4 linked regions of the Arabidopsis thaliana genome follow. The protein of the gene in region 3 purifies or fractionates together with the protein of the main gene of each other region. This does not show direct contact. Each region holds a gene or a part of one and is shown on either strand. Other genes may lie near its edges. The genes, in order: PDE345, GDH1, MTHFR1 and GDH2.

What was found.
Region 1: the proteins of MTHFR1 (region 3) and PDE345 fractionate together in Arabidopsis thaliana (co-fractionation; one large-scale study listed by BioGRID). This does not show direct contact.
Region 2: the proteins of MTHFR1 (region 3) and GDH1 fractionate together in Arabidopsis thaliana (co-fractionation; one large-scale study listed by BioGRID). This does not show direct contact.
Region 4: the proteins of MTHFR1 (region 3) and GDH2 fractionate together in Arabidopsis thaliana (co-fractionation; one large-scale study listed by BioGRID). This does not show direct contact.

What each region holds. Positions count from the first base shown.
Region 1 is NC_003071.7:92,512-100,131, forward strand, and holds PDE345 (Aldolase superfamily protein), read right to left. Parts: upstream 4,353-7,620; 5' UTR 3,981-4,352; coding exon 3,825-3,980; intron 3,713-3,824; coding exon 3,443-3,712; intron 3,348-3,442; coding exon 3,238-3,347; intron 3,135-3,237; coding exon 2,495-3,134; 3' UTR 2,216-2,494; downstream 1-2,215. Other genes in the region: AT2G01130 (DEA(D/H)-box RNA helicase family protein), read right to left, coding at 1-60, 198-328, 414-573, 690-878, 1,018-1,113, 1,198-1,422, 1,517-1,604, 1,676-1,836 and 1 more. UniProt on the Arabidopsis thaliana protein: Plays a key role in glycolysis and gluconeogenesis.
Region 2 is NC_003076.8:6,002,950-6,010,758, reverse strand, and holds GDH1 (glutamate dehydrogenase 1), read right to left. Parts: upstream 4,725-7,809; 5' UTR 4,588-4,724; coding exon 4,480-4,587; intron 4,242-4,479; coding exon 4,128-4,241; intron 4,019-4,127; coding exon 3,797-4,018; intron 3,707-3,796; coding exon 3,632-3,706; intron 3,552-3,631; coding exon 3,435-3,551; intron 3,359-3,434; coding exon 3,108-3,358; intron 3,027-3,107; coding exon 2,951-3,026; intron 2,878-2,950; coding exon 2,791-2,877; intron 2,697-2,790; coding exon 2,511-2,696; 3' UTR 2,199-2,510; downstream 1-2,198. Other genes in the region: AT5G18190 (Protein kinase family protein), read left to right, coding at 1-114, 205-393, 485-544; AT5G18180 (H/ACA ribonucleoprotein complex, subunit Gar1/Naf1 protein), read left to right, coding at 1,154-1,292, 1,562-1,710, 1,798-1,913, 2,033-2,198; AT5G18160 (F-box and associated interaction domains-containing protein), read right to left, coding at 6,850-7,809.
Region 3 is NC_003074.8:22,146,189-22,154,983, reverse strand, and holds MTHFR1 (methylenetetrahydrofolate reductase 1), read right to left. Parts: upstream 3,821-8,795; 5' UTR 3,682-3,820; coding exon 3,219-3,681; intron 3,127-3,218; coding exon 3,044-3,126; intron 2,950-3,043; coding exon 2,776-2,949; exon of another isoform or gene 2,555-2,775; coding exon 2,381-2,554; intron 2,281-2,380; coding exon 2,180-2,280; intron 2,074-2,179; coding exon 1,962-2,073; intron 1,731-1,961; coding exon 1,650-1,730; coding exon of another isoform or gene 1,572-1,649; exon of another isoform or gene 1,555-1,571; coding exon 1,377-1,554; intron 1,166-1,376; coding exon 831-1,165; intron 741-830; exon of another isoform or gene 739-740; coding exon 661-738; 3' UTR 501-660; downstream 1-500. Other genes in the region: AT3G59980 (Nucleic acid-binding, OB-fold-like protein), read left to right, coding at 16-222, 313-456; histone-lysine N-methyltransferase ASHH4, read right to left, coding at 4,771-4,807, 4,915-5,005, 5,084-5,111, 5,194-5,344, 5,425-5,505, 5,601-5,772, 5,872-5,950, 6,026-6,125 and 3 more; AT3G59950 (Peptidase family C54 protein), read left to right, coding at 8,097-8,562, 8,637-8,722. UniProt on the Arabidopsis thaliana protein: The probable reversibility of the MTHFR reaction in plants suggests that they can metabolize the methyl group of 5,10-methylenetetrahydrofolate to serine, sugars and starch.
Region 4 is NC_003076.8:2,350,852-2,358,741, forward strand, and holds GDH2 (glutamate dehydrogenase 2), read left to right. Parts: upstream 1-4,907; 5' UTR 4,908-5,301; coding exon 5,302-5,409; intron 5,410-5,510; coding exon 5,511-5,624; intron 5,625-5,735; coding exon 5,736-6,032; intron 6,033-6,191; coding exon 6,192-6,308; intron 6,309-6,401; coding exon 6,402-6,652; coding exon of another isoform or gene 6,653-6,695; exon of another isoform or gene 6,696-6,737; coding exon 6,738-6,813; exon of another isoform or gene 6,814-6,888; coding exon 6,889-7,161; 3' UTR 7,162-7,390; downstream 7,391-7,890. Other genes in the region: AT5G07420 (Pectin lyase-like superfamily protein), read left to right, coding at 1-112, 356-515; AT5G07430 (Pectin lyase-like superfamily protein), read left to right, coding at 1,698-1,901, 2,044-2,322, 2,413-2,616, 2,719-2,957, 3,059-3,218; CYCP4;3 (cyclin p4;3), read right to left, coding at 7,567-7,846.

The sequences.
Region 1 (7,620 bases), on a different chromosome or scaffold from region 3:
GTACCGGGTCATCTCCAGAATATCCTCTAGGAAATGACTACGAACTGGATATGTAAATCCCTATAGTGAAGAAGACAATATTAGTAGTTTCACTGGGGTTAATCAGAGCATATAGATCCAAGGAATATTGAACTCAGCAAAAGATTAAATATCTTGAAATGTTCTAAAGAGGATAAACAAATATGTTTCTTACTTACTGGAATATAAATGACACCTGCCCCACCAAAGTATGACGAGAAAAGCTCCGCATCTAAAGTTGCACTCATCAAAATCAGCTTAAGCTCTGAGCGACGAGATAGCAGATCCTTAAGAATGATAAGAAGGAAATCTAAAATACAAAAGTAATATAGTAAGACACCTAAATCAAGTTAAGCTAAAAATGAGGAGCTGCTTGATAGCAAAAGTATACATACCTTCATTCATTCCACGCTCATGAATTTCATCCACGATAACATGAGTAACTCCTCTTAAATTTCTATCTACCAACAAGCGTCTCAACAAAATGCCTGTGGTGCAGAAGAGTAAGCGGGTATCTCTTCCTTTAACACCTTCCAATCGAACTTTATATCCAACCTTCACAAAAAAGTAAGAAAAAAGCAAGAGAGCTTAATCAGTAAAAAAGAGAGGAATTCAAAGTATAAGAAGGGTCCACGCTAACTAGATATAGGAGCATGCAGGGTGAAACTCACAGATTCACCCAACTGCTCTCCTCTCTCGTAAGCAACCCTCTCCGAAACAGACATAGCAGATATTCTCCTTGGTTGAGTACATATGATACTGGAAAAAGCTCCACGGTTTGCTTCAATCTCGGATTCTAAAATAAACTGCGGGATTTGTGTGGTCTTGCCGCAACCTGTTTCTCCAGAGATAACAATAACCTGCAATACGAAAATTTATGTGGGTAATCGGAACTAATACAAAACCAAGACGACCGTCAAGTTGATATTCGATTTTCTATTTGACACAGATGTCACACGACTGAGCTCAAGCATGCTTCCAGTTATCTTCTGTGCAGACCTGATTTTGTGAAATAGCTGTCAATACTGAATGCCTTTGCTTGAAAGCAGGGAGACTTGTACGAGAATCCAACATTCTTTGGCCTTCTACGGATGCCTAATCAATGGAACACATCAAAACTAAATGGACGATGAAAAAGCATAGATGAAGAATATATTAAGGACCTAATATAAACAGAACCTGCCAATATTGTTGTCGATCACGCAGCTGCAAACTCCTTTGCCAAAGAATTTTGGTGGCAGAGATGGGTAGTGGTTGCTCAGAAAACCATTCATCAGTACTGCTAATGCTACTAGTTCTTGAGACGGAATTGGCAGGGACTCTATCTATCCTATTAGAGCTTTTACTGAGGTATTCTGTGAGGTAAGCTTCAACTCTTTGAAGAAGGTCAGTATGCAAATTCACCTGTAAATATTTTTGTATATATCTGCTCTTTAAAGAAAAACAAGCCGTCTTGCGTTAAGTGTAAGAGAAGAGAGTGAGGAGCAGCGGATAATACCTCCCTCTGTGGCTTCTTGTCATCTAAATCAAACCTATAGTTGGGGAGTGGGATCTTACTGAAGACAACAACCTTAGCATATGCATGACTGCAAAAAAGAAACAGAAATGGTTGTACTAGTGAGAAAGAAGAAAGAAAGGAGCAGCATGATTGATGTACCTATACAATCCCAGGGTTGTAGCCAGAGCAGCAAGTTTATCAAAATCCCGTCTATCTTTTTTCTCCCTGGAAATAACTTCTTGCTTTAAAGAATCTTTCAAAAGCATTGAAAATCTCTTATTCCAATCATCCAAGTCGGCACAGTGAAAGGTACCCTCCTGCTGCAAATTGATATGGTTCCAGTAGAAAGATAAAGGGATTTTTATAAAATGCTACTCGAGAGCAAATCGAAAACTAGAATCGCCATTGTAAGAGCATCAATCAAAAAGCTCAGAGATGCATGAAAAAAAGATGAAGAAGAAGTTAACCGGTTGGCGATCCTCGGAAACGCGGTCATCATAAGCGGAGACATAGCGAACTGGAGAGAGAGGAACAGGATTGAAGCCGTAATCGGAACCAAGGCGCTGGTGAGGCGGAACGTACAGCGAAGGAGGAAGACGATTCGTCATCGGAGCCAAATTCAAAACTCTAAACTCTCTCTACTGTAAGTCAAAAGTAAACTATAAAGAGGGAGAGAGATCTCCGCTGCTTCTTCTAACACTGAACTTGCAACTATGCCAATTTTACCTAATCGCCCTCCAAAAATTTTGTAAACTTAAAAGAAGAATTACACAATTTGGTTTTGCAGTCAAACAGTAATCAGTCTTTCTGAGAGGAAATATAGATTTAAGAGGATGTTTTCACGTTGCTCACATACATATATGATATGATCGTGACTCGTGACTGTCTTTCTTTCTCAGAGACAAAACAAAAAAGGGAAAAAAAAACAAAAGACAACAATGGTCCTTAATCCTTATTACGATCTCTGAAATTAACAAATCAGTAGGTGTAACCCTTGACAAACATTCCTTTCTTGGCATCCTCGTTCTCTCCCTCGGCTGAGTATTTGCCGAGCTGGGCCAGTGAGTTGGCCTTTGCCCTCACCAACAGTGCCTTCTGCGAGGCCTCAATCTTCTCCGGCTTGCCTTGCCATGTTCTGAGCACGGAGTTCTGCAGGGCACGTGCGTATGAGAAGGACACATGCCATGGGTTTGGGCTCTGGTTCATGGCGTTCAGGTTCAGTGTGGCCTCTGCCTCTGATTGTCCTCCTGACAGAAACATGATCCCTGGGACAGCCGGAGGAACCCTCCTTTTCAGCATGGTGAGCGTGAAATCTGCAACGGTCTCGGGAGAGGCCTTGTTCTTGTGCTCAGCGCCTGGGGTGACCATGCTCGGCTTCAACAGAATGCCCTCAAACATGACGTTGTTCTGTGCCAAGTAGAAGAACACCTCTGACCACACTTTCTCTGCCACCTCCAGAGTCCTCTCTATTGGGTGGTCCCCGTCCAGAAGGATCTCTGGCTCCACAATGGGGACAAGACCATTATCCTGAGAGATGGCTGCATAGCGAGCCAGCCCCCACGCAGCTTCCTTCACAGCCAGTGCTGAAGGACCGCAGGGAACACTCACCACTGTCCTCCTAGACAAACACACACAAACATCAAAACTAGGAAGAGCATTTTCACATCAAACCAAAGAGTTAATACCATATGTAAGATAACATGGTGAAATATATGACATACCACTTGGCAAAACGAGCGCCTTGCTTGTAGTACTCAGCAGAGCGTGAGGCCAATCCATCCAAGCCTTGGCACCAAGACTCTTCGTTGGAACCGGCTAGGGGAGACAAGCCCTACGCGGTGGATTGCATTGTCAACACTTCACTCAACACACATAAAAACTCAACTACTTATGATGATGATGACAGAATAAATGGATAAAAAATACCTTGTCAACTTTGATGCCAGGGACGATGTTGGCATCGCGCAAGCAATCGACAAAGGTCTTACCGTCCTTGGTGGACTGGTAAAGAGTCTCCTCGAAGAGAATGGAACCAGAGATGTAATCGCCGAGGCCAGGAGTGGTAAGCAGAAGTTGCCTGTAGGCCTGACGGTTGTCCTCGGTGTTATCCAAGCCGATAGAAGCAAGCCTCTTCCCACAGGTTGCATTGGACTCATCGATCGCCAAGATACCTCTCCCAGGGGATGCAATGCTTTTCTATTACGCAATAATCAGAGAATCTCACTCTACGTTTGACTTTGAGAATTACGGAAACGAATCCAAACTAATAAAGCATCAAAGAGAGAGAGAGGATAAGGAGGATACTCACGGCGGTTTTAACAAGCTCGTCGGAGTAAGCACCGGCGCGGATCGCGAAGGAGACTCGAGGAGGAGGAGAAGAAGAAGCAGAGGTGTGAGCAAAGGAGCGTTGGCCGATCCATGGAGAAGAGAGGGTGTTAGGCTTAACGAAGCTAGCAGACGCCATAGGTAGTACAAGGAAGGTACAAAAGTGATGGTGATCAATCTCTCGGGGACTCCGCGGGACAGAGACAGAGAGAGATCTGGGATTTGGAGGAGAGTGTTAAAGCCAAAGGTTTTGTTTACTACTATTAGTAGTCGTCTACTTTGGCATCACCTACTCCCACCACCAAAAAGCCTCCTTCTCTTTACCATTTTATTCCCCAATTTACCGTAAATGACGCTTTTAACCTTGAGGGAGATACTGGTAATTTTTTCTAGTAGTTCATCAGTCTCTCAACAACAAGAATCTGAGAATAACCAAAACTCTACCGTTTCGTCTACCCAAACTATCCTTCTCCTACCATTGCCTCTTCGTCTAACTCAATCGTTTTTCTTAATTAATCAAATTACATGACCTATCACCTCTTCAAGGAGTGTGATGAAAGAGAATGGGCCGGATATTCCCTTTTTTATCTGTTGGGCCACAATAGTAAACAACTTATATAACAGGCAAACTCTTTTACGTAATTGATTTTTGGGCCCAATAGTAATAGGGCTTAGTTTCAGATAAACAATAAGAGCCCACGACAGCTTTGGTGTTCTTGGGTCTTTTTCTTTTTTTTTTTCCTTTTTATTAAGGCAACCATCCAATAAGTCCAAATATTGGTGTTACTCGTAACAGGCGAGGAAGGTGTAAACAAGAAGAGAGAAAATGCAAGTTCCGAGAAACGTTATATATATGCGACATGAGAAAGTGGCAACTTTTTCTTTCTTGTATCTTACACTACTTTTTTGTATTTTTAAAGTATCTTTGATTTGATAACAGTTTTCTAAAACTGTTGGCCACAATTTAAATGCATATTCATATGTATGTTCAAATTTACAGCAACTCAGTTTGACCCCACAAAAAAAGGGAAAAACAACAACAAAATTCAAGACTATATGACTAAATATGTTCAAGTGCTTCAATTATATATTAGGTACAAGAATATGAATATAATGCCAATCTTATCTTAATCAGAGTAGGAACTAGTAATTTTCATATTTTAAGACAAGTTTGAAAGTTGTTTTAATTAAACATGCGTAAAGTTCCATTCTCTGCTCTCAGATGAATGGCATATCGATCATAATTCACCTAGTACTTCTTCTAGAGTGTTCTACGCTGCCTCTACGTATTAGAATATAGTATATGTAAAAGGTGTTGGTGCAGATCTTTGATTAACACTTTGGTCAGTCACATATCTAATGATTTTTAAACGATAAACCCCAAAACGCGTCTTCATACAGTTCACATGCATATGTCACCCAGAAGAATTGACTCTCAGATCTTTCTAGGTGTTTGTGTTCACACTTCGCCACGCTCTCTCTGTTAGAAACGATTTAAATATACAAACAAAGCTAGTCAGTGTTTCCCATTCGAAAAAAGAGAAAAGACAAAAGAGAGTGTGTTATTTGTCTTGTAATGAAACCTATTGAGTATGGTTGACTGGTTGGTGCGTAGGGAGAAGCAGAAGGTGATAGGACCACGTTGTTGTTTATTTGGCAATTCTTTTACAAGCCCTTGGTCCTGTTTTCTCCATCTTCTCTACTTCATTTGTCATTTTCATTGTTTACTTATTAAATTTACATCCATGTTAACTATTTTCATTTAAACAACAACGTACGTGGACCTATCGACTGATCATCCCTTGGTCGACAAACAATGATGGATCGGAACTTGATTTGGTTTTCTTGAGTTATGTGAAAAAGCATCGCATTATCAATTTTAACAACTTTTCTATAGCTCTTAATTCTGTCTAGCTAATAGACCTATAGTTTCTAAAACAAATACTATAGTCTTGCAAGCCGCATGCTACCTAATGCAGTATATATTTGGATAATTTCAAATTGTCTTTATTATTTCCTCATATTTTTATTTAATTATTTAGATAATTTTTATTTATTGTTTTATGAATTTTCTAAAATTTTGGATTTATTATAATTAAGACTTTTGAACTTAAAATTGTATTCAGTTAATTGATTAATAAAATTAAGCTTTTACCTTTTCAGAGAAGAGTATTCTCTAATTCCTTGCTTTCGGTAGATCTTGAAAGATTTCAACGGTTATAAAAAGATGTAGGATTCGGTATTCGAAGAGAATCAACGAATTCCTTACGTTCTCTCGTTTCTGTTATTCTGAGGAATCAACAGATCCAAAAAATTCTAGTTTTCTGGTATTCCGAGGAATCAACGGATGTCTAGTTCTATCCATTAAAACTTCCGCTACTTCAGTTGGTATCAAAGCTAGAACTAGAGATTCGTTGATACACTTAACAAACAAACAAAAAAAACTTAAAATCAAAATTTGACACACACACCAAAATGAGTTACCTTTTACTCATTCATGTTCATACTATATAAAATATATTTTCGTCGAAACAATCACTCCTCCTAAAATATTTTAAATTTTTAATGCAAAAAATATTAGTTGTGTTTTGTTTATTTTATAATAAATGATTTAATCATATAAACAACGAGGATCGATAAGACACTCGCATGCTATTTTTACCAGGATTACATTAGAATGAGAGTCACAACCACATAATGAAGACGATCGTCTGCTAGCTATGTGACGAGAGATGGTAAGTGGTTTCAGATTTTATGATGTAAAGTGGAAGGAGTGGTCAAATAATTAGGTCAAAGAGAGTCGAGGTGGTTGTCACTGGTTGGCTATATCGATGACTAAACCACACACCTACACCTTCAATTTCTATTTTAATTATGTTTTCTGAATAACTTAATACTATCTTATATGATCGTTAGTAACAAATATTTTTTTAAAAAAAATTTATGTACATTCATAGGTAGCACGAAGTGAACAAATACTTGAATTTTCTTGCGTCAATATAGAACTAAGATCATACATACATGATACATAATGAATTTATGTTTATATTAGATATGCGTCACAAGGGAGACAAGAAGCGAAGCGAGGATCGTGCTAAAATCTTGGTCAAGTTCACAAATTATGAATTGCTTTATATATTAAACAATCTCTCACAAAGGATGGATAATTTAATTAGTTGGTTCCCTGTCAGTTGTTAATTAAGAATTAATCACAAACCGCCCACTTCCTTTTTATATTCCAAAAATGCTTCTCCAATGTTCTACACTTAAGTATATCATATAATTAAATGAAACTATGAATGAGTAAAATAATTGAAACATACTATTTAACTAGCTAGCTGGGGGATTTGTAAATAATATAACAAAGGTCGACAATTGATACTTTTTCCATGTTGGGAAATTCTGAAAACTGATCAATATATATGAGTAATCGACAAGAAAATAACTAAAACTTAGACTTTGAATGGTTATAGCGGTTTAAGAAGACAAAAATGTCTATATACCAAATCGTGTTTTATTTACTATTTATAAATTATATTATGTAATAGTGCGGATTCCAAAAAATAAAAAATAAAAATTGTTGTGGACTAACTACGAACCGTCTTTAAATTAAATTTGCAGCGGATTGTTGTTCGATCTAAAATTAGTATGGACTGAACCGCTAACGGATTAATCTGCACTAACCACAACATCCATTCAAAGACTTAATTATTTACTATCATGTTATATTTGTGGGGCATTAATAAGTGAAACATATTAATAGTAATTAAAATGAATGA
Region 2 (7,809 bases), on a different chromosome or scaffold from region 3:
CCTTTCAAGTGGATAAACAAGAAATGGAAAGAAGATTTCCATGTAACCTCCATGACAACTGCTGGGAATCGTTGGGGTGTGGTAATGTCGAGGAATTCTGGCTACTCTGATCAGGTAGGTTTCAATCCCGTCACCTTAGAATGACATAATCTTTAAACATTTTGACATTTTTCCTGATACTCTTGGTTGGTATTGTGTGAAAAGGTCGTGGAGCTCGACTTTTTGTACCCAAGCGATGGAATACATAGGAGGTGGGAAAGTGGGTATAGGATAACATCAATGGCAGCAACTGCAGATCAAGCAGCTTTCATATTAAGCGTACCAAAACGTAAAATGATGGATGAAACTCAAGAGACTCTTCGCACCACCGCCTTTCCAAGCACTCATGTCAAGGTGGGTTTCTTTAGTTTTGAACAAAGATTGGACTTTTGCTTTGTTTCCATAATACTGATCAGGACCTGCCCGGTGTTGGTTGATTTTGCAGGAAAAATGGGCGAAAAATCTGTACATTGCATCAATATGCTTTGGGAGGACAGTTTGCTGAGGTACTTAGCATCATATGAAAGCCAAGAAGACAATTGGAGGATAAGGATCATAATACGATCAAGAAGGTAACGCAACCTGTTTGTTAAATGTAATGAAATGGATGCGTGTTCGTATGTATGTAGAAGTATAAAAGGATAGAAAAGATGGTAACAGAGAAGTTGAATTAGTTTTAATAGAAAGTTTTGAGGGCTTTTTAAGCCTTCAAGTGTGCTTACTTTTTGGTATCACTTGCCTTGTTTGAGTCTTTGTTTCAACTTTCAAGTGTTTAAAATAAATGAAATGTGAGAAAGCCAAACCAAACTTAAACCGACATAAGCATAAATAAATAAAATAATATCTCATTGTTATTCAAATCTTTTGTTAAATTTTTACAAAAATTATTGACAAATTTACTAAAAGAAAATTTTATCTCTTCCCGGTTTAACGAGTCGTAACCCGGTCTGGGATTGCTGAAAACCCTAGTGGTTTACCTTCTTTTTTTTCTTTTCGTTATTAAGAGTCACAACTACTTCTTCAACACTCCAATTGGCAATTGCTTCCCTCGCTGAAACCCTAAATAAAAACCTCTGAGGAGCAGAGAGCGATAGAAGAAACCAAAACCAAAAAGATGAGACCACCACGTGGCGGCGGCAGCTTCAGGGGAAGGGGAGGAAGAGATAACGGCGGACGTGGACGTGGACGTGGACGTGGACGTGGACGCTTTGGTGGTGGTAATTATGACGAAGGACCTCCCAGCGAAGTCGTTGGTTCGTTTTCAACCCTCTTTGACGATTCTCTCATTCTTACCAATCAAGCAGATAAAAATTATTGAAAAAAGTTGTCAGCTTTGACATTAATGAGCGTTTGTTGCTGAAATTTGACAAAAAGAAAATTTTTGTATTCTGATTGATGATTTGTTTTCCTGTTATTAGGATTTTGTTGGATTCTTGTGACAGTTTTGAAGTTAATTGAAAAGGAACAAACTTGTGAATTGTCTCTGTTATGATAGAGTTTCTTTCTTGGTGGTGTTATACAGAAGTTGCAACTTTTCTCCATGCTTGTGAGGGAGATGCTGTGTTCAAGCTCTCCAATGTGAAAATCCCACATTTCAATGCCCCAATCTACCTACAAAACAAGACCCAGATTGGGAGAGTAGATGAAATCTTTGGTCCTATTAATGAATCTGTATGTGTTATCTCTCTCTCTCTGTTGTCTTCTTCGTTCACTGGCCTTGCTCACTAATATACAAAGCATTGGTTCTTACTTTTTCAGCTATTTTCTATCAAAATGAGGGAAGGTATTGTAGCTACCTCATATAGTCAAGGCGATAAGTTCTTCATTAGCCCTGAGAAGCTTTTACCTCTATCAAGATTCCTTCCTCAACCAAAGTAAGCTACACTTCTTAACCCTTGTTACCAATTCTTAGGTCCCTTGAAGTAGTAGAAGAAACTTGTTCAAGTGTTAGAAAAAGTCTGTAACGAAAGTCTTTGTTCTGTTCTTCTTGCAGGGGACAATCAGGAGGCCGTGGTGAAGGAAGAGTCCCTCCCCGTGGTAGAGGGCCTCCCCGTGGTAGAGGCAATTTCAGAGGTAGAGGTGCTCCCAGAGGTGCTAGCAGAGGGTTTCAACCAAGAGGTGGTCCTCGTGGAGGCTTCAGAGGCCGAGGGAGGGCCTAGATTCATATTCTATAGCCTTAAGCTATCTTTAAATTGCTTTTTTTAAGAACCATATTGATGATAACTGTTTTCTTGGTTCTAGTTTTTTGATACCTTGGTTTTATTAACAAGAGAGTAAAAAAGCTCATTAACTATTAGAGTCCAAGGTTTTATTACATACAGAAGCGTCTTCTAGTACTTGTAAACACATATCTGTTAACTCAGGATGACCTCTAAGCCAAAGTAGGAGGATAAAACAAAAAGTAGATTAAAGTTTGGCTCAATTCTTATTCAGGAGCTGCTAAAGAGATTGCATAAGAGATTAGATAATCTTTAAGCTCCCCAGCCTCTGAGAATGGTAGCTTGAGCCACACGATTAACACCGAGTGTGAAAGCTCCCATCCGGAGATCGCAAGAGTGAGTTTTGCACATCTCTTTCAAGTCCTTGAAAGAGCGAGTCATGTAAGTCTTTAGCTCATCGTTCACCTTCTCTTCCTCCCACATAAAGCCTTGAATGTTCTGCACATTACCGGAAACAACTAATCTGATCAAAATCGGTTTTGTTCGAGTACTTGGTCTGTCAAAGGTAAGTTGTTGAGAGACTCATACATACCTGAACCCATTCGAAGTAACTTACAGTGACTCCTCCAGAGTTTGCATATATGTCCGGGAGAATAACCACACCTTTCTTACTTAGGATCTGTAATACAAGAATCTCCATTACAGAGATTCGCAATGAGAAACTCCAAAGTCAAAGAAGAAGACAATCAAACCTCATCCGCGTCCGGATCAGTTGGATGATTAGCTGCTTCTATGATGAACTTTGCTTTAATCTCATTCGCATTCTCCCTTCAAACCAAAATCCAACTAATAGTTTTTAAAAAGTTTCAAAACAATATGTAAGCTTTTGTAGCAAAAAAAAGCTCTAACCTGTTGATGACACCACCAAGTGCTGCAGGGACGAGGATATCACAATCCTCAACCAGTATGGAGTTTGGATCGATCGGATCTGCACCATCAAACCCTTTGACACCTCTGTGTTCTTTAGTATGCTTGAGCAAGGCCGGGATATCGATACCATCCTTGTTCTTGATTGCTCCGGTAATGTCACTCACGGCAACAATCTTCCCACCCTTTTCACTTATCAGCTTTGCCGCCCAAGAACCCACATTACCAAATCCCTAATGAACCAATATGTAAACCAGAATAAGAAAAGTTTCTTTGGCTCGCAGGAAACCGCAATAAAAGAAAGGTCACCTGGATGACAAAACGCTGCCCTGATATGGTCTTTCCGTGCTCGTTAAGCAAAGCTTCGGTACCAAACATCACTCCTCTTCCAGTAGCCGCGTCTCTCCCTAGCGATCCACCAAGATCCTGGTTCATAAACATCATTAAACATTCAGGTGGTTAAACCAGTCATTAGCAAAACAAGATTGTGATTATTCTTTACTTACAATGGGTTTTCCAGTCACAACTGCAGGCGAGTATCCATGAAACTTAGAGTATTCATCAAGAATCCAAGCCATTGTCTGCAAATTCCACCAAGGGAAAAAGTTGAAAGATGGTTTCAAAAAAAAACACAGAACATTTTGGAAACGTTCTGAAGAGAGTTTAAGAACCTGAGGACCAGTGCCCATATCTGGAGCTGGAACATCAGTATGAATCCCAATGAGATCATGAATCTTCTGAGTGAAAACTCGAGTCAACCGCTCGAGCTCGGAGATACTGAGCTTGCTAGGATCACAACCAATCCCTCCTTTAGCTCCTCCGTAAGGAATCTTAGCCACTGCTGTTTTCCATGTCATGAGCTGAGCCAATGCGTTCACTTCATCCGGATCAACCTGCAAGAAAACGATAACCGGTTTGCATCATATACCAAAACCGAAATTGTATACTGGTTTGTTACATTTGAGTTTTGGTTCAAAAGGTCAAAGTCAAAAGGTCAAAAACCTCAGGATGATATCTGATTCCACCTTTCATGGGACCTCTTGCATTGTCGTGTTGAACTCTGAACCCAACGAATGATGCTAGTGTACCATCGTCTTTCGGTATGGTACATTCCACCTACAAAAATACCAGAACCGGTTGATTTAAATTGGTTTGTTCCGGTTATATAATTCAGCAACCGGATTGAAGTAACTGGATCCACAAAAAAGCGGGTCGGGTTTCGAAATGCCCCTAAACATTCAGTAATCATTTTTCACTACAATCCACCGCGACGAATCGTCTCCGGCGCCGGCGAAGGCACAAAATCAGCGGATCAAGGTTAATTAGGTTAAGAAAGGAGTGAAAATTTGCGAACCTTGATTTCTCGGAAGGGGATGAGAAGACTTTTCTCGAGCTTAGAATCCAGACCAAGAAGCCTAGCAGCTAACTTGAAGTTTCTGTTTGTTGCTGCTAAAGCATTCATGGCTTCTTCTTCTTCAACTTCTTCTTCTTCTTTTTTTGTTTCTCTCTGTGTACTTTGAACTTTCACTGGAGTTTTGATCAGAACGCTGTAATAAAACGACTGTTAAAGAGGAAGATTGGTGTCAGTCTGATTGTAACTTGTTAAGTGTGTATGTATTTATTTATACACAGGCACGTGATCGATATGTTTGGGTAAGATTCAGTGGAGGTCCAGCTGATTACGGTGGAGCTGATTAAGTAATTTAATTACAAAAAAAGACAAGACACAATAATCATGGTTTAAGCCTTTAAGTGGGTTTTAGATATAATTTTGATAAGTTAAGACAAACATACTTTAAGATAACTCGAGAAATTTTTTTCTTTTTTGAATCAACTAATTAAATCTTTACCAACTAACTGTCTATCTGTTTAATTTCTGGAACAACATGTACTTTTGAGTTTAGTTGTATAATTCAACTAAAATATACTTGTGTTTATTTGCAACTTGCCTAAAATTTGAGATCAACTAGACTTAAATTCTTTGGATGTTTTTGTTCCTATTTACGGAATTACGGTTGGATATGTCGACATATTTGAGATGTCATTGGAAAATTTTCCAATTATATAGTTTGGGAAAACTAAACATTGTGCTATGTATTGTCAGAAAAATAATCTCGCCGAATAAGAACATTCTCAAAACGTTACATACTACATGTATATTATATGGCATCTTATGCTAGATATAAGTGAAATTAGTGGGGAATGTGACACACATAATCTTTTGATTTGGAGAGATATGGTTGCGTCGTCATGTTCGCATCAAATCGGGATTTCTTTGATTTTTCTAAATTGGTGTGTGTTGACTTGTAAACAATCTTATCCACTATGTTTCTTTTGTTTTCCCAATTAATATGCTTCCATTTACATGTACGGAATTCAAAATATTAAAACTTTTGTTAAAGTTTGTAACAAGATAGAGTTTAATTCGCAATAAATCAATTACATTTTGCTTTTAGCTAGGATACAAGTACAACGACTGTTGTTATTTCTTCTGGAGGCTAATGCTATTGAAACATTTTGATTTTTCAGTCTTATCTTTCTGTGATACGAATTTGGTCTTTCATTATTAGTGTTTGTCAGTGATGGTGTTGGTGGTGAAGTCACTGTAGGAGACAAAGTTTTTGTAAGAAAAAGAAACAAAAAGACAAGGCTTGTGTGTTTTGACCGATGCAGCCTAGTAGTAGCTTAGGCTTCATCTTTTATACACGTATTGTAGAATCTTGAGCTCGCTTATGAATGTTCTACATATCATCAGCTGGAAACTAAATGCCATAACTCCTAAGGGATTGAGTAGATAGCATAAATGTAGGCAATAGTCTTCAGAGCAGAGCCCACATTGTTTAATAAGACATGCATGTTTAGGACTTACGATATATTCAAACTAAAGAAAAATCAAATTATGACAAAGCCCTTCAATGTGAACGGATAATCATAACAAGAAGAATCTATCAGAGAATCATAAACTTGCATATATAATTAGCTATGTGTCATTCTTTGGAAAACAAAACAGAACCCTTCTCAAAATCAGTTGTTATGAATTATGATTATTGGTCTCTCACATCCAAATTGAGAGTAAACTAGATAGTGTTATAACACTAATATGTAAGGGATGTTATTACATTCATTACCAAATGTTATTGTCCTGAGGGCTCTTAAAACTGCTAATAATATCAAAGTTCATGACACAATAAATTCACTAGCATTAGTAATAGACTAATAGCGCCCAAATTTAGCCAAGTCCTCCAATATCAATGAATTTGTGGCTATCCAGGCTAATCTTTTCTCATAAGGTACCATAATAAAACCACTATATTGGTCAATTTTACAGAGATCCATGTCTCAAAATGTTGAATTCATACTGCAAGTAACTAAGGCTAATCTTCGTATGCTCTAAGCTCTAATCGTCTGAGTGAAGATTTCAAGTACTTCTTCTGTACTTGTTTAACTTTAGGACAAAAGTCTCTTTTCTATTTTTGAGAAAAGGATCACATGGAAATTGCTAGAAACAGAACAGAGGAATCGTAGGTTCAATCTCAAAAACACATATTACAGTCTCTCCATGTATAGTTTTATAAAGTTTCTATTAAGTCTCTAGAATATGTAGTATCATCATTAAAACATATTGGGATCTCCAGTGGGATCAATCAATCAGTGGATACAAAAAAAGATCTGAAGAACACTTCAGAAATATATAGTGTCATTCCATGCAAAAAGATGAAATCTCTTAAAACGAGATGAAACTCTCAATGTGATTTGGTAATACATAAAAGTCATTCACAAGATCAAATCCAAGTCTATCAGGTTGCCAAATCTGGTTATCCGCAATTCCTTGAAACTTGGTTTCTCTGATATTGTTTTTCTTAGGATCAAAATACACAACACAGAACGATCTATTCAAACTAAATCCTGTGTAAATAAGCTCACCAGCATCAATAACACCCTTCAGACTTGTGTTGGGAGGAAGACATAAATGAAACTGTTCATACGACCATTTTCGATTCCCTGCATCCTCCAAACTCCAGATTTCAACAACAGAGCTAGTGGAACTTATCAAAGCCAACCTTCCCTCATAAGATACCATAAGAAAGCGGTCATAATTACGCATCGGAAACTCAATATGTGTAAACTCTTCATATCTGAGATCAAAGCCAAATATAACATGCCTTGGAACCCTATCAAATATAATAGCTTTATAGTAGATAACTCCATTAATGCATCGTCCAGTATCTTTAGTAGGCCAATGTGTATAGCCAGGTTTGGTTACTCTCCATGATTCTTGAATTTCCAATGTAAGAACTTGAGTGTTCCATCCTCTGACAATGCACAATGCTTTGTATTTACCCTCTATCGGTTCATATCCCAGAAACCCTCCTACGTTGTATTCGTCACCGGTGCCTTGAGGCTCAGGTAAAGGGAAGAATCGTTTCAAAGTAGGGTTACAAATCACGAGCTGTTTAGAACCTTCTAAGCAGATCAAACCGTGGACGGAATCAAGACGACGGATGAAACCATTCTTGGGGATTTCAATGTGATAATCTTGCACATGAGAATAAGTATTCTGGTGTTGGGGAGACGAGAAAACGATCAGCTTGTCGTGTTTTCGGAAGATTAGTAGAACACAAGGTGGTGATGTCTTCTTGGACCGATGCTTGATGAACTCTGGTGTGGTGGTAATGGACGACCA
Region 3 (8,795 bases):
TTTGGTTCTGTGCAGGGTGCATCAGTGGTGGTGCTGGCTAATCTGAAGCCGAGGAATATGAGAGGGGTTAAGTCATGTGGTATGCTTTTAGCTGCATCTGACGCAGCTCATGAAAATGTTGAGCTTCTTGTTCCACCAGAAGGCTCTGTTCCTGGAGATAGAGTTTGGTTTGGTAACGAAGAAGATCTCGAGCAGCTTCCTGAACCTGCACCTCCTAATAAGGTCATTTAGCCTGCAAAGCACTAATCATTTCAGTACTGCAAGACTTAAGTCATGGCATATTCAAGTTCTGTGTTTTCTTTGTTGTTTCAGGTTCAAAAGAAGAAGATGTGGGAATTGGTGCAACCACTTTTGAAGACAGATGCGTCTGGTGTTTCAATGCTTAAGGAGCATTTGATGCGGACATCTTCTGGTCTTGTTACTTCCAAGTCTTTAAGAAATGCCAACATTTCTTGATTTCTGTTAAAAGCTATTTTGTGATGTTGTTTTGACACAAGAGAGAAAGAACAAACCGCTAAGGCGATTTTTTTCATTGCAATCAAACTGATGTTTTTGTTGATTCATCAAAGTAAGGTTATTACGAATCAAAAATAACTTTAAAAGGTACAAAACAAATCTCGAAATCGAATGTTTCCTCTTCGCCGGTGGTTTTCTCGGAGATCAAGCAAAGACAGAGAAGATATCACCATTGATGTAATTGTTGTCCACTAAGCTTACCAAATAGTAGCTGTTCTTCACCTGCATATTCGATTGGATCATACCATCATCATTACAGCTAAACCAATCTGGTCACTGAAAAGAAGAGAAGAAAAAAGAAGAAGATTCTTTACCTCCTCGAGCAACTTTCTAGAAGGGTCATCTTCTGGGTACAAGTTAGCCCAGCTTCTTGACCAAATCTCAAACGCTTCGTCTTTCCAGACTTTGAAACTGGCTGGATCCACGATCGTCGGTTGAATAACCTCCTTAGCTGGGAACACTCCCCAAGTAACTGCATTCACATCGGACTCACCGGTGTTTGATACCCAATTCTCTGATTTGTTCACGGCCATGTAGGTGATAGAAGGAAAAGCTTTGGATTTCTCCACAAGTGTGTCTAACTTATCCTTTGAACAGAAGAACTCCAGATAAGCTTTCTGGTAGACGTAACCACCAGGACCACCCCATCCTGCAAAGTATCAATTGCAATTATACATTTTTGTTATAAGCCAAGTAGATATTCCCAATGCAATTTAAACATTATGTTATAAGCTAAGACAGAAGCTCTAGAGGGTTTAAATAGGTTTTTAAGAAATGACAGATGAATCACAAGTCAAATAAGATTTTTTTTTTTGGAACGTTATGGTATGCTTTGTGATCACAAGTTTGAGTTTTCTTACCAATAGCTGGAGAATCGGATTTGGCTGCATTGACTGATGGTTGGCTATTAATGGTCAGGAAACCGTTGGAGTTGATTTTTCCGAGTTGCTCATTTATGATCTTTGTCTCTGGCTGGAGTCCATCTAATTCAGACCATGGGCTGCTTTTTAAGTTTCCAATGCAGAGCTCTTTGAATTTCTGATTTGTGACAGTTTTTACATGAAAATGTGCAAGTGAGTATGAGGGAAAGAGATCGAAACAATTTGTACGAGTGTCCGTAAAGTAAAGCCTACCTCTTGAACATCTTCAATGCTTTTCAGTGGGACGACCCATTCTTGCTGAAGCTTCTTGTCACGTCCTTTTGGGCGCGCAAACTATCAACACATGCATTTATATCAGCACTACTCATTGGCAATGAAAAACGCAGAAGAGATGGCAAGCAAAGCAAGCAGCTTCTTACAAGTGATAATGGTAGGGCTAAATAACAATATGCAAATACAATTTAAGCAAATTGAGAAGGCAAACTGAAAACAAGCCTTTCAGAATTCAAGTTTTCAAAATATAAAGTCGATATGTCAGAAAACTGATAAATATGTGGTACGTACCTGATAATCCGAAAGTGTACTGTATGCTGCACTGTGTGAATCACCCCAACGTCCATGTGGGAAGTCATTCCAGCCCTTTGTTCTAGATATGTAGCTCTTTGGACGGTTTGCCCTGCAAAGATAAAAAATGAAGTAACAGTATTATTCCTCCGCAAATATATCTTAAAGTTAAAGATCTGTAATAATACTCCGAGCAAGAGAAACAAAATGCAGGTTACCAGAAAATTGGGCGAACATCTTCCTTAGTACGGAAAACATTTGCAGGGCGTCTCCAAGGTAGAGAACGAGAAATTTTTGACTCATCAATCAGACCAAGGTTCTGCAATTTGAGCACCACTGTTAGGTTCTCCGGTATACACAATACCATGTGTTAAATATTACTACACAGAAACCAATTTAGAAGGAAATGAGAAGAAAACCATTAATATCCCAATAGCTGATTTGTCCACGTTCAATGTGTAGAGATGAAGGGAAGTGATTCCATGGGCCAAAATCTTTTTGCACATTTCTGTTGCAAAGTGAATTCCATAGGCTTTAACAGCCTCGTCATTATCCTTAATAGGCTCTAAGGCAGCAGTGAGCTCAGCGGGTATCTATGCAATAATAGAATCATGAGTGGAATATAAATCAAAGAAAAATGATATCTGAACACATTAGTCATAAGGCATCATCACCAAGGGTCTATATATATATCACCAAGCAACTAGATAGATGCAGTAAACTCAATCTCATCTTAAAGCCTTTAAGCACAAAGACGACATGTGTCTACAGAGCAAGCCATATCATCACACAGATGAAAGAGATCACAACATACCTTGGTCTTACAGAAACCAGCCATACGCAAGAACCCCTTGTAGTTGGAAATAGGCATAATTCCAGGAACAATGGGACAATTAATCCCGATTTGCCGACAATCATTCACAAACTTGAGGAATATATCAGTATCATAGAAAAGCTGAGTCACAATCAAATCTGCTCCAGCATCAACCTGTACCACAAGCCACAATCCACTAAACCCATCAAATCAAGACAACACAAACAATTCAACACACAAAATTCAAAACCAAGACACAAATCTGAACCTTTTTCTTCAAGTAAGCAAGATCACTCTGATAAGATTCAGGAGTAGCAAGTCCATCAGCTTCAATAACATCCGGATGAGCCTCTGATTCATAACACACAAATCCCCAATTAGAGATCAAAATCACAACAACGAAACCAACAATGAAATTGATTAAAAGGGAGCATTTTGATTACCAGGATAACCAGCAACAGTGATTCCAAAGTAATCACCATACTTGCTACGAATGTGATTCACCAGATCCAAAGCACAAGCAAATCCTCCTTCAACCTGAACAAACTTATCTTGTCCATGAGGAGGATCTCCTCTAAGAGCAAGCACATTCTGAATTCCATTAGATCTAATCGTCTCAAGCGCGTGATCAATCTTCTCAATCGGCATGTTGGTACAAGTGAGATGCATCATAGTCTCGACGCAGATAACATTCTGCATCCTAGAAGCAATCTCGAGAGTGAGATCAGCTGTGGATCCACCAGCACCCCAAGTGATATCGCAGAAGGTAGGTCCATAAGAGACCAATCGATCCATTCGTTCAAAGAGATTCTCGACGCCATCTTCTGTCTTCGGTGGGAAAAACTCGAAGGAGAAAGCTGTTTGGCCTTGCTCCGTCACGGATTTGATCTTATCAACCACCTTCATCGTTGAATCGAAATGAGATCCAAATCCAAATCCAGATTCGGAATTAGATAGGTAGAGGAAGTGGTGGTGGAGAGGCAAGTTTGGTCTCTCTGGTTTGTTTACTCACTCATTTATACTAATCTCTAAAAATGAAGATAGAGATCCAACAACTTTGGTGGTAACTGGTAACCGGTAAAAACTTTAGATAAAAAATTATATTATCAACATTGTTGTTTTTCTACACATCTATTTTGAATTTTCCTTTTTCTAATTACATAATATTTATCAATGTAAATATATTTTCAACAAAGAAATCCAAATTTAGCACAGCATTTCTGTTATCACGTTTTTTTTCTCACATTGCTATCACTTTTTATTGTGCTAAATACATATTTCCTCACTTTTGGAATTTATCTTTTCCATAATAGTAATTTTATCCTTTTCCTTTACAAAAAACTAGTTTTTATATTTTTCTTATTTTCCAACTAAACATAAGAAAAAGAAAATTTAGTTAGGTAGGTGAGCTACGACCCCACATTACCTACCACCGGTAACGGCAAATCCACTGTCGGTCACCGGCGCGTGGGTATCATCCGCTACAACGGACAGTAGGCTAGTGATATAGCAGCATTGCCAAGGAGAATCACGTGCTTAACAAACTCGAGTTATAGACAGAGCAAACCGGGTATGAGATTTTTTGTCTCTTAAATAACCAAAACCCCGGTTTAAAATCCAAAAACACTTTTCTTTATTTGGTCCAAAGATTCCACATACAGTGTAATGTACTACTGAACTACTGATTCAAGTTGGATACATACAACAACAAAGTCTAAACCTATTTGCCAACCGACACGGTTTGGTTGGTTACAAAATTTCTTGACAATTCAAGTGTAATCCTATGTAAGGGAATGAAATCAGACTTGGAACAGTCACAATATCAAGCAGTTACAACCTTCCAAACTTCTCTGCACATGTCGATGATCTCGGTAACACCATCCTCATACATGACCTGGACAAAGTCAATGTTCATTCTTTAGATTTCGTAAACTGAGATAGAATGTGAACAACAGTGTTGGCAATAAGTCAAATGAATAGATACCAAGTGCTTATTTAAAACTCATCATATTGTGTAATGATTCCAAAACACCTGAAAAATGTCAACTACTAGAGTCAAAACCTTCATCTGAGCCGTGTAATACTGTTCTTTGGTGTGGAAGAAATTGGTTTTTGAGAAAAAAAGAAAGATAGTTATACTTTTGGTTCATGGGACGTGCTAACCAGATCACCGCACCAATGCAGTCCCGGCAACATATTTTCCTCTGGCTATGATTGTTCCAAGCTTGTCCTGACGCATCCAAATTGGTTTCTCTTACCTCTGAATTGAGAAGCTTGTCGATAATCGAGCCAAATAATTAATACTAACCAGCAATGCGTCTCCCTCGAGTTTTTCCCTAACCATATGTTTGAAAGGACAAGTTACTGTTTAGCAATCACAGGATGACTAAAAAAAAGTAAGGCAAAGCTCAAATTTACCTTGGGCGTTTTCCAGGTCACTTTACATGCCACTGGCTTCACAGCTTCTTCTAAGGTTGTGTTCTTAGTTTTGCAAGGTTTTGCACCTAGCTTTTTTCTGCAACACACTGCACCACAGTAGCAATCTTGATCTGCACCAAACTGAACAAACCTGCTATATTTATTAGTATCACACAACTAAACATTTACATTCAAATACTTTATTGTTGTGATGCAAGGAAATGTTCTTACTGGTAATCGTAAGTCAACTGCTCGCCTTTGTTTATGAAACGGGTAGCAAAAATGCCGATTCTTGTCTCGCCATCAATTATCCTAAATGGGAACAAAAAGGTTCATGATCTATAACTTTGCTCAATTGTTTTGAACAGAAGAAAAGTGAGAAGATGGATAATAAGTTACAAACGAACCATTTCTGCATCTCTGTGTTAGGACTGCAGCTGTGATTGATGTATCTTGATTTATTACCCTTGTGAGTAGCATCAATCACCATGTTCCAGTTTATCTGACACAAATAGAAATTTGTCTCGACCTTATGATTCAGCTTCCAAAGCCTTTCTTCACAAATCTTGTCGTCAATAACTACAATAAGAAATGGATATAAGAAGATTGATAAGAGTAAGCAGAGTAATCACAACAGTACTCTAACTATATATGAGAAACCAAAGGTAATAACATCACCTTCTCCCACATATTCAATGATAAACTCTCCTGAGTTGATATCTTCATCTGCTACAATCCCATATCCACATTTCTCTGTCTGCAAGCAACAACTTATTCAACTAACGTTGAAAATGCATTCTTTATATAAGACAACAAATTGTAATAAACCAACCTGAACTAACTTCATCTTCTTGATATGTCGTTGTTGGAACGGCTTGTTGGTGCATTCACTACTGCATTTGCAACTAGACGAACAGCTTGAGAGTAGAATCCTATACATCAAGGAAAAAACCAACAATACATCAACAATCAGAACCAATGCCGCCACGAATATTTAGTCAGACAAGTACTTGTGATCAGATATGGAACATACCCACAATTGCAATCGCTGCCACAAAGAGTTGAAGAACCAGGATCCAAGGAGCAAGAACAGAATATGCCATGATCCTTAACTTTCTTCTTGAGTTTCTTCTTCAAGTATATATCTTAAAACCAAGCTCGTCATGTGAAAACAAATAATATTCCACAGTTTTGTATGACAAAAAAAAATAGCATCTTGTGACAACAGAAAAGGATACTGCGCTTGATGAAGATAGGCTTCACATTATTCAACCGATCCGGAGATTCAAGTTTCTCCAATTCCCCAATCTGCTTTTTTAACTTCCTCAACGACTTCCTGATTTGATTCCGATCGGAACCCTGAAATCAGAGAAAAACTAAGATCATACGAGAAATAATTTCATAAAGAGAAGAAATGAAGATTGTGAATCGAACGTAACCTTCTTCGAGGAAGACATGGCAATAGACCGGATTAATTGGGAAAGATCTAAATTTGATGTTGAAACTTTTCAAAGCCTAATATTTGAAGAGAAGAAGAAGACGAGGATGATGATGAATTTGTAGTGGCGGATCCGATTTGCAGAGAGTGAAAAGACGTAACGGAGAAAGAGCGGCAGTTGCTGTTTTTCCTTTTGAGGATTTTGAAATCCTTCTGCGCAAAAGGCAATAAATCGGCTTAAAAGGGTAAAAGAGTAATATCGATTTATTTCCATTCATCCGTTTAAAGACATAAATGGGCTTCAGATTTTTGGACTGGCCCAATACAATCAAACCCATTTTGTTTTTGGTAACAAAATAATTAATTTATTACTAGTCATTTGCATTTATTCCAGACAGTTATATCATTCACAATTGGTAACTAAATAATTACTCCTTTTTACCGTAAAATTGATATTCTGTATATCAAGATATTCAACGCACAAGGAATTTTTTTGAACAATATATTCGATTTGCTTTACTTGGTTTAAGTCGCCGGTAAAATTTATTTGGTTTAAGTCGCCGGTTTAATTTAGTTTAACACTGATACATTTGACAAATACGAACTAGTGACAAAATTATACTGCCAATGGAAAAACATATTCGAAGCTAATATAAAATGTAATGATCCATATTCGAAGCTTAAAAGATATAATTACGTAAAATAGAGAAGAGAGAGAGAGAGAACACGAAACTTTTATTTCGTAAGGTTACACGAAATCGATCTTCCGCAATTCAAACTTCGTCTCCGTTAATTCGCACTCTCGTTCTCGTCTTCGTCGCCGGAGGTCGTATCAAGTCAGCCTCAACGATCCGATTTGTTTTTTCAGGTGATCTATCTTTATATTCTGCTAGAAATTCCAAAAGTTGTGAAAATTTCGTTCCTCGGATCGGATTATGAAACTCTCTGCGTTTGTTTAGTGATTAATCGAGCTCTTACTCTTGTTCCTTTTGATTCTTATGCTTTCTGGTGTATATATACGAGATTTTAGTTGCCAATTTTATAGTTGACTGATTGATCATTTGAGATTACTGTAGAGATCCGCCCTGGAGAAATTGCGTCGGAGTTCTTTTACTTATTGCATGATTGTGTCTCGAATTTCTATTGCTGCTGTGGATTTCTTCATTTTCGAGATTGTGCATATCGGATTCGAGTACCTTTATCTTACTCGTTGTGTTCATTAGATCATCTTTGATTCCTAAATTCGATTTTTGGGGCATATTGAAATGGAGTGTAATAGTGAGATTATAGAAGATAATGCATTAGCTCACTTTGAGAAGTAATTATTAGAGGTATCTCTGTTCAATTTTAGCCTGATCTATTTTTATCTCTTATGCTTTATTATTGCAGACAAAGGTTGATTCTCTGGGTATGAGTTTTCTTCTATGAGACAGACATGTTGTATTTGGTGCTTAATGACTAGGTAATGAAGGCTATATGTGATAGATTTGTTCCTTCAAAATGTTCTTCATCAAGCACAAGTGAAAAGCGTGATATATCATCCCCGACATCTCTAGTTTCAGATTCCGCGTCTAGTGATAACAAGTCAAACTTGACGTTATGCTCGGATGTGGTTGCCTCTTCCTCCCCAGTTTCTCAACTGTGTAGGGAAGCTTCAACTTCAGGGCATAACCCAGTTTGCACCACACATAGTAGTTGGACAGTTATTTTAAAAACAGCTTCTATGGCTAGCGGGGCAATTAGGAGATTTCAAGACCGTGTATTAGGGCCGAGTAGGACGGGTATTTCCAGCAGTACTAGTGAGATATGGCTCCTGGGTGTCTGTTATAAAATCTCAGAGGGTGAATCCTCAGAAGAAGCAGATGCTGGCCGTGTATTGGCCGCATTCAGACAAGATTTTTCATCCTTAATACTGATGACATATCGTAGAGGTTTGTATGCTCCCCCCCCTCAAACTCAAACCAGCATAAAACTGTTGACAGAATACTCACTGTGGCATTTCCAGGTTTTGAGCCTATTGGAGACACAACTTATACTAGTGATGTAAACTGGGGTTGCATGCTTCGAAGCGGCCAGATGCTCTTCGCACAGGTAGTTATTATTATCATTTTGCTGGAGGCTTCAGATTTCTTAATGCATGGTCTAAAATTATGTATCTTTAACA
Region 4 (7,890 bases), on a different chromosome or scaffold from region 3:
ACTTGGGTAGGGCTTGGATGAGCCACCCTAAGGTCGTCTACTCCTACACTGAAATGTCTAGTGTCGTCAACCCATCTGGATGGCAAGAGAACAGAGTGCGTGCGCATGACAAGTAAGTGTATCAATTTCACATTATATGATTATGTGATAAGAAACCAACACTAATATATAAGCATAATTTAGTCATTTCCAATTGAGTTAAACAGTCATAATTTCTCACATAGAGATATTGCAATAGTTTCAGTTTGCCCCAAAAAGAAAAGATATTGCAATAGTTTTTACAAGTTTAAAATGTGATTTGTGACAGTGCGAACCAACCATTAATAAGTAATATTTTTTATATAATGAATGATAGGACGGTGTTCTATGGAGAATACATGTGCACGGGACCAGGATCACACAAAGCGAAGAGAGTGGCACACACACAAGACATTGACAACAAAGAAGCTAGCCAATTCCTTACCCTCGGCTACATCAAGGGCTCCAAATGGCTTCTACCTCCTCCCGCTTACTAAACAGACCCAATCATCACTAAAATTCTGTATATGTTACAATTGTACGTTTTGTTTTCGAAGTATCCTCTCTTCCTGTATATAATGGAGGAGTAGAGACTTGTGTAATTTTGGTTTCATGATAATAAAATACTCAATGGTTCACAAATGAGAAGCGGATAAGAATTCAAACATACTGATTATTGTGCATGGATAGAGTGACGCGACTGATTAATGTTATGAATGACAGTATATTTGTATGCGAAATTGCGAACACATTAACTATAAATATTTTCTAGTTAATGTTAAAATGATTGGGGACAATTTCTAAACAAAAAATAATATGGACATTACTTTCTATCATTTTTTATGTTTGATATTAGAACTCGTATTTTGGTAGAAAATTGTTAACTTGTGATTTAAAAAAAAAAACTGAAGAATCACATTTTTAGCAGATGGTTGTGAAATTACGTTTTTGGTTAAAAATTGTAGATTCACAATTTTGTAAAGGAAAATCACGGATAGCTTTTTATTGGTGGAACATTTTGTAATCTTTTTCTATTATTATAAAAACTTGATAATTGACATTACCGGTCTAGTAGAAATAAAACACAAAATTTGAAGAGATATATATAAGTTCGATCGAAAATCACGGCCAAATGTGGGAAGCGTCATTGACGTAAAGCAAATCCAAATTTAGGAAGTGTCATTTTAATTAACATTGAACTACTAACCACTCCTGTCATGTCTAGCAAATTTACATTCAAACATAAATTGTGGTTTAGGTCCTTTTCAGGTAAATCTATAGATAGATATATAGCAAATTAACAACATAGTTCCTTTTGGATGAGTCAATATTCAACATGTTGATTTTGCCAACTGTAAATTTTCCTTTTCGTTGATGGTTACAGATGAATGTGCGAATTTATCTCCATTCAAAATTACTGAATTTGTAATAATAACAAAATCAGATATTCAAAAATGCTTCAAGAAATATAAACCACAGACGAGAATAGTAAAAATGAGATATGTCCGGTCAGAGATCAACAAGCAAGACAAGTATAAAAACCCCTTCAAGGCTTCTTCATTTCTTCCATTTTTAAAAGTAAATAAGATAGTAATATTAACACTTAGTTTTTCTTTTCCTTTTCATTATTTTCTTTTATTTTGTAACAGAAATAAAAGAAAATAAAAGAAAATAAAAAGATGGGTTACATTTCAATGTCCGTGGTTGCATTCCTTGTTGTTTTTGCTTCGCCGGTGGTTCTAGCCACCGATACAGATCCGATTCCAGAAAACAGAGCCCAAATCCCGCAATGGTTTAAAACAAACGTTAAACCATATTCCCAGAGAAAGGGCACGCTAGACCCCGCCCTCGAAGCTGCTGAAGCAGCGCGACAAATTATCACCGTAAGTTACTAAAATCTGATTTTTGGTTTGGTTCGGTTCATATCGATTTGACCGAATTAAGTAGGCGTTGTTAAATTTTTGCTTATATGAATAGTTTACAAATGTATGTTAACTCGAGTGAAAAATGAAAATCTCATTGCAGGTGAATCAAAAAGGTGGCGCTAATTTCAAGACATTAAACGAAGCTATCAAGAGCATTCCGACAGGAAACAAGAACCGTGTGATCATCAAGTTGGCTCCTGGTGTATACAATGAGAAGGTCACAATCGACATAGCTCGACCATTCATTACATTGCTTGGTCAACCTGGTGCGGAAACGGTCTTGACTTACCACGGGACAGCCGCTCAGTACGGAACCGTTGAGAGTGCAACTCTTATCGTCTGGGCTGAATATTTCCAGGCAGCTCACCTCACCATTAAAGTATGAGAAGCATATCTATATTCGTTATACGTTACTACATTACGTTAGAGATTAATCGCTACTAATTAATTTGATTTTGTTATACTATAGAACACTGCTCCAATGCCGAAACCAGGTTCACAGGGACAAGCTCTAGCAATGAGGATCAACGCTGATAAGGCAGCTTTCTATAGTTGTAGATTCCATGGTTTTCAAGATACTCTCTGTGACGACAAGGGCAACCATTTCTTCAAGGATTGTTACATCGAAGGAACTTATGATTTTATCTTTGGAAGAGGAGCTTCCTTGTACTTGGTAACCTTAAAATTAAATATTAGACATCTTTTAACATGGTACACATATATATAGCATTTTTTTGATATTAATAGTACATATATTTGTATGTAAACTCGATAGAATACGCAATTGCACGCTGTTGGAGATGGATTAAGAGTGATCACAGCTCAAGGTAGACAAAGTGCAACCGAACAAAACGGATACACGTTCGTGCACTGCAAAGTCACTGGAACCGGAACCGGAATCTATTTGGGCAGGTCTTGGATGAGCCACCCTAAAGTCGTCTATGCTTTCACAGAGATGACCAGCGTGGTCAATCCATCTGGCTGGAGGGAGAACCTCAACCGCGGATATGACAAGTACGTAACATTTCATATCATCTCATTTACATATAGAACTACATTTTATATATATATTTGATTATAAACTGAATTTGATATTGTGTGTTGTATAAATACAGGACGGTGTTCTATGGAGAATACAAGTGTTTCGGACCAGGGTCACACTTAGAGAAGAGAGTGCCTTACACACAAGATATTGACAAAAACGAAGTTACGCCTTTCCTCACTCTTGGTTACATTAAGGGCTCCACATGGCTACTTCCTCCTCCTAAATACTGAAATTTTTCTTAAGACAACTTATTTGTTGTAACACCGTTCTTTAATTTATAATTGAAATGTTCCCATCTTTTTAGTTTCTTTATTTTTTTTTTGTATTGCTTAAGATATGAATTGATCAATATTTTTTCTACATATATAAATCTTCCAATTCATTCATTTCTATATATACCGGATGTTTGTGGTGTTTTTGTTTTCCTTTATTTAGAAATTCCTATAGGATATATATACAAAATTTGTTTTTGTAAAATATCATAATTATGTTCACACCCTATTGAGTTAATGATTTGTTTTTGTTTTTCTTATGTTAAACGTTCATGGTATATATGTTTAAAGTACCAACAAAAAGAAAGAGTCAATGTCTATCCATGATATATATGCTTTTATTAAACATTTTGATTATTTTAACCAAAAAAAAGTAGAACACACACATTTTCTAGATCTCATCATTTTAATAGTTCTAGTTGCAAATGTTAAACTTCAATATTTTTCGTATATATATGAATCAGCTTCTTCTTTCTTTAATTTTCTCGGCGAATTAGTATATTTTAATCCATAAGAGATGCATGCATAAATTTTATTGAATTAAGTGAAGACCCAATGGTCAAAAGAAAAAAAAAATATAGATATGCACCGACGAAGCCGCCGCGAGTAGCCGCGTCACAGCCAGGTCAGCAAAAAGTCGCCATCCAATTAAAGAAGAGAAGGATAGCAACTTCTGCAACGTGTTCTGCTGAGTCTGACTTAGATTCGGAATCTGGTTCTTACGATTTAATGACCATCCGATTTTCAACGGCTAAGATTGTTTAGAACCATTAGTACAATATTGTCACATCCGCAGAGAATCCACGCCCCTAAATGAGCTTTACTTCCATGTTTTTCGCATCTCCTCGTGATAACATCGACGATCAATTTTTTTTCTTTCACGTTTTGTTGATATATATAAATACGTTTTCGGAAATGTTTTAAATAAATATTGTTGGTCATATTCTATAGTATATTCGGATTAAAATCATTTTTAATTTCACTAATTATGGAGAGATATTCCTAAAATGCCTTAGTATTTAAAGAATGCGAGTCAATTGCACTAGATGCATGTTTTTATTTTGTTTCTAACGTGGACCTTATGTAAGCAGGTCTGAAGTTTATCCACAATTTGCTGTACTAATTGATAACATTTGTATATGTATTCCAAATATGAAATGTCATTAAATGTCTCATAAAAGTGATAATACAATACTGTATTTGGGAAAAATAAATGAGTCATACAACATAGTAATCAACAAGGTAAAAAGTCATATAACGCCGTCCCCAAAAACAGTCTGTCCCAGCTCCATCCTAATTGGGTATCCACGTCCCGATCCTGTCACAGGACACCAGTAAGAAAACGGAAACCGAAAATTTCAAGAAACCAATATCGTTTTCTTTTCCTCAATTAAAGTTATAAAAAAAAAAAAATCCCTGAAAATATCACATGGTTTTTTAAAACAATTAGTGTTAAAATCAAAATTTACTACCTTCTCCACCGTTATTTACGAATTTACCATGTTGGTATATTCTTAAAAACTTTTGTAGTTCTTGTAATTACTAAATTTTTTTTCCGTAATTTTTTCGATTATTATTTATAACTTTCCAACTCAAGCCAATATTTTTTTAGTAAATTTTAAAGGAATGTTAATCTTCTAAAGATATGTTTGACTTAAAAAGGAGTTAAAAATGATGAGATAGCCAAAAAAAAGATTAGAGAAATCCAAATAAATAATAAGGGGTAAAAGAGTCATTGCAGTCGATAATTAGTCTCCGTCTGACGTAGGATACGTCAAAAATATCCGATCTCATTCAAATTACGCTTTCTCTTCTTTCCCCTACAAATACTCAATTCTTTCTTCTTCAATTCATCACAACAAATCAAAAACTCCAAGTTCTTACCTTTTTCCCATTTACAATCGGTAAATTTCTCCGATCACGAGATACAAATTTCACTTTCTGATATCTTGGATCTTCCGATCACTTTGAATTTTTTGGTTTGTTGATTTTTTTTTTTTTTTTGTTCCATAAAGTTCGAATTTTTTATAGAGAAGAAACCATGAATGCTTTAGCTGCAACAAACAGAAACTTCCGTCATGCATCTCGAATCCTGGGTTTGGATTCGAAGATCGAGAGAAGTCTTATGATCCCATTTAGAGAAATCAAGGTTTGACTTTTTTTTTTCCTTTTGAGGTTTTACTCTTTTGTTTCGTTTTTGGGGAAAATTCGTCTCAATCTTTGTTTGGATTTTTTTACTTTTGATTTCAGGTTGAGTGTACGATTCCTAAAGACGATGGCACTCTGGTTTCATACATCGGATTTAGGGTTCAACATGACAATGCTCGTGGACCCATGAAAGGTGGAATCAGATATCATCCTGAGGTAGGGTCTTTTATCATTTGTTCTTGATCTAGGATTTAAAGTTGACAACTTTGGGGGTTATAGATTGAATCTAGGGATTTGAATTAAGGGTTTTGATTTTTTGGTTTGAAGGTTGATCCAGATGAAGTTAACGCACTAGCTCAGCTGATGACTTGGAAGACTGCTGTAGCAGATATTCCATATGGTGGTGCTAAAGGTGGAATTGGATGTAGTCCTCGTGACTTGAGTTTGAGCGAGCTTGAGAGGTTGACTCGTGTGTTTACACAGAAGATTCATGATCTTATCGGTATTCATACCGATGTGCCTGCTCCTGATATGGGCACTAACGCTCAAACCATGGCTTGGATTCTTGATGAGTACTCCAAGTTTCATGGTCATTCCCCTGCTGTTGTCACTGGAAAGCCCATTGTAAGGCTTTTAAGATTTTGGTTATATCATTCTGAGTCCGGAATCTGTTGTTTATTCTATGGATGTTTTCTTGATTTGAATTAATTCGATGTTTCTATGTGATTACCATAGTTTTGAGCTTTTTGGTATAGAAGTAACTGTTGGATCACTTTGGTGTAGGATCTTGGTGGTTCATTAGGTAGGGAAGCTGCCACAGGTCGTGGTGTAGTATTTGCCACCGAAGCTCTTCTTGCTGAGTACGGGAAATCGATTCAGGGTTTGACATTTGTTATTCAAGTAAAACCATTATCAGCTAATCTCAGATCTCAAGCTTTATTGTGTATATGATATAAGACAGAAATGTTGAGAGATTTGGATGATATGTGACAGGGTTTTGGGAATGTTGGAACATGGGCTGCGAAGCTGATCCACGAGAAAGGCGGTAAAGTGGTTGCAGTAAGCGACATTACTGGTGCAATCAGGAACCCTGAAGGTATCGACATCAACGCTCTCATAAAACACAAGGACGCAACTGGAAGTCTCAATGATTTCAATGGTGGAGACGCTATGAATTCAGATGAATTGCTCATTCATGAGTGTGATGTTCTCATTCCATGCGCTCTTGGTGGTGTCCTGAACAAGTCAGTTCAAAAACTTCACTCATCAAATCAACACCAATCATAGAGATTCACTTTCTGATTCTTATATTTCCCAATATTTGTTCAGGGAAAATGCTGGAGATGTGAAGGCAAAGTTTATAGTAGAGGCAGCTAACCATCCAACAGATCCAGATGCTGATGAGGTAATGCATCGATAACACAAGAACTCATCCCTGAAACTCCGAAAATAAAAATCCTAATCTGTTTGGTTTTGGCAGATTCTGTCGAAGAAAGGAGTGATTATACTTCCAGATATCTACGCAAACGCAGGAGGAGTGACAGTGAGTTACTTCGAGTGGGTGCAGAACATTCAAGGATTCATGTGGGAAGAGGAAAAAGTGAACTTGGAGCTGCAAAAATACATGACTCGAGCCTTTCACAACATCAAGACAATGTGCCATACTCATTCTTGCAACCTCCGTATGGGAGCTTTCACTCTTGGAGTTAACCGAGTCGCTCGAGCCACCCAGTTGCGTGGTTGGGAAGCTTAATTCAGTTGAATCCCCCTTATATACTCTGTTTCTTGCTTGCTCTGTTTTCCATTTTTTTTTTTTTGGTTTCATTGTTACTGAAAATCATTGAGCTTTCCGAAATGGAAAAGGAAACAAATGGATTGAATAAAAACTAACAAATTGGAATAAAATATATGATTGGATTAAACGAGAGTTTCAAAGCAGAGGATGAAATATTCCAGGAAAAAAAAAGCCCAAATTTTAGTTTCATCAGTTGTGTGGCTTGCTACTTCATTATTATTATTATTAAAACACAAATAGTGAAACCAAAACATTTATTAAAATCGGTTACATATTACTGGAATTCAATTTGAAGTTCTCAAAAAAATTGTTACATTTCCGTTAAAAGGTTCCATTTGTTAGATGATCTAGTATTCCAATGTATCAAACAGCACTGGTGACTTGACTATTACGATGATCTTCGTCGTACAAATTCTTTAGAAGATTCTTATGAAAACTTCTAACTAAAAAAGCAGGTTCCAAAAGTGGAGAGTACATCGTCCTCATAACCATCTCTCTTTGAAGTGAAGAACAATAGTCATTATAAGTAGAAATTGTCACATTCAATTGGAATCCAATTCCAAATAAGAAGTCCAGCTCTAACAAGTTCATCTCCTCTGTGGTTATTCCTCCAACTTTCGCATAGAATGCATTATTGTAACACCTATATTTTATAAAAATTCAGATAATATTTGTTAGAAAATTGTC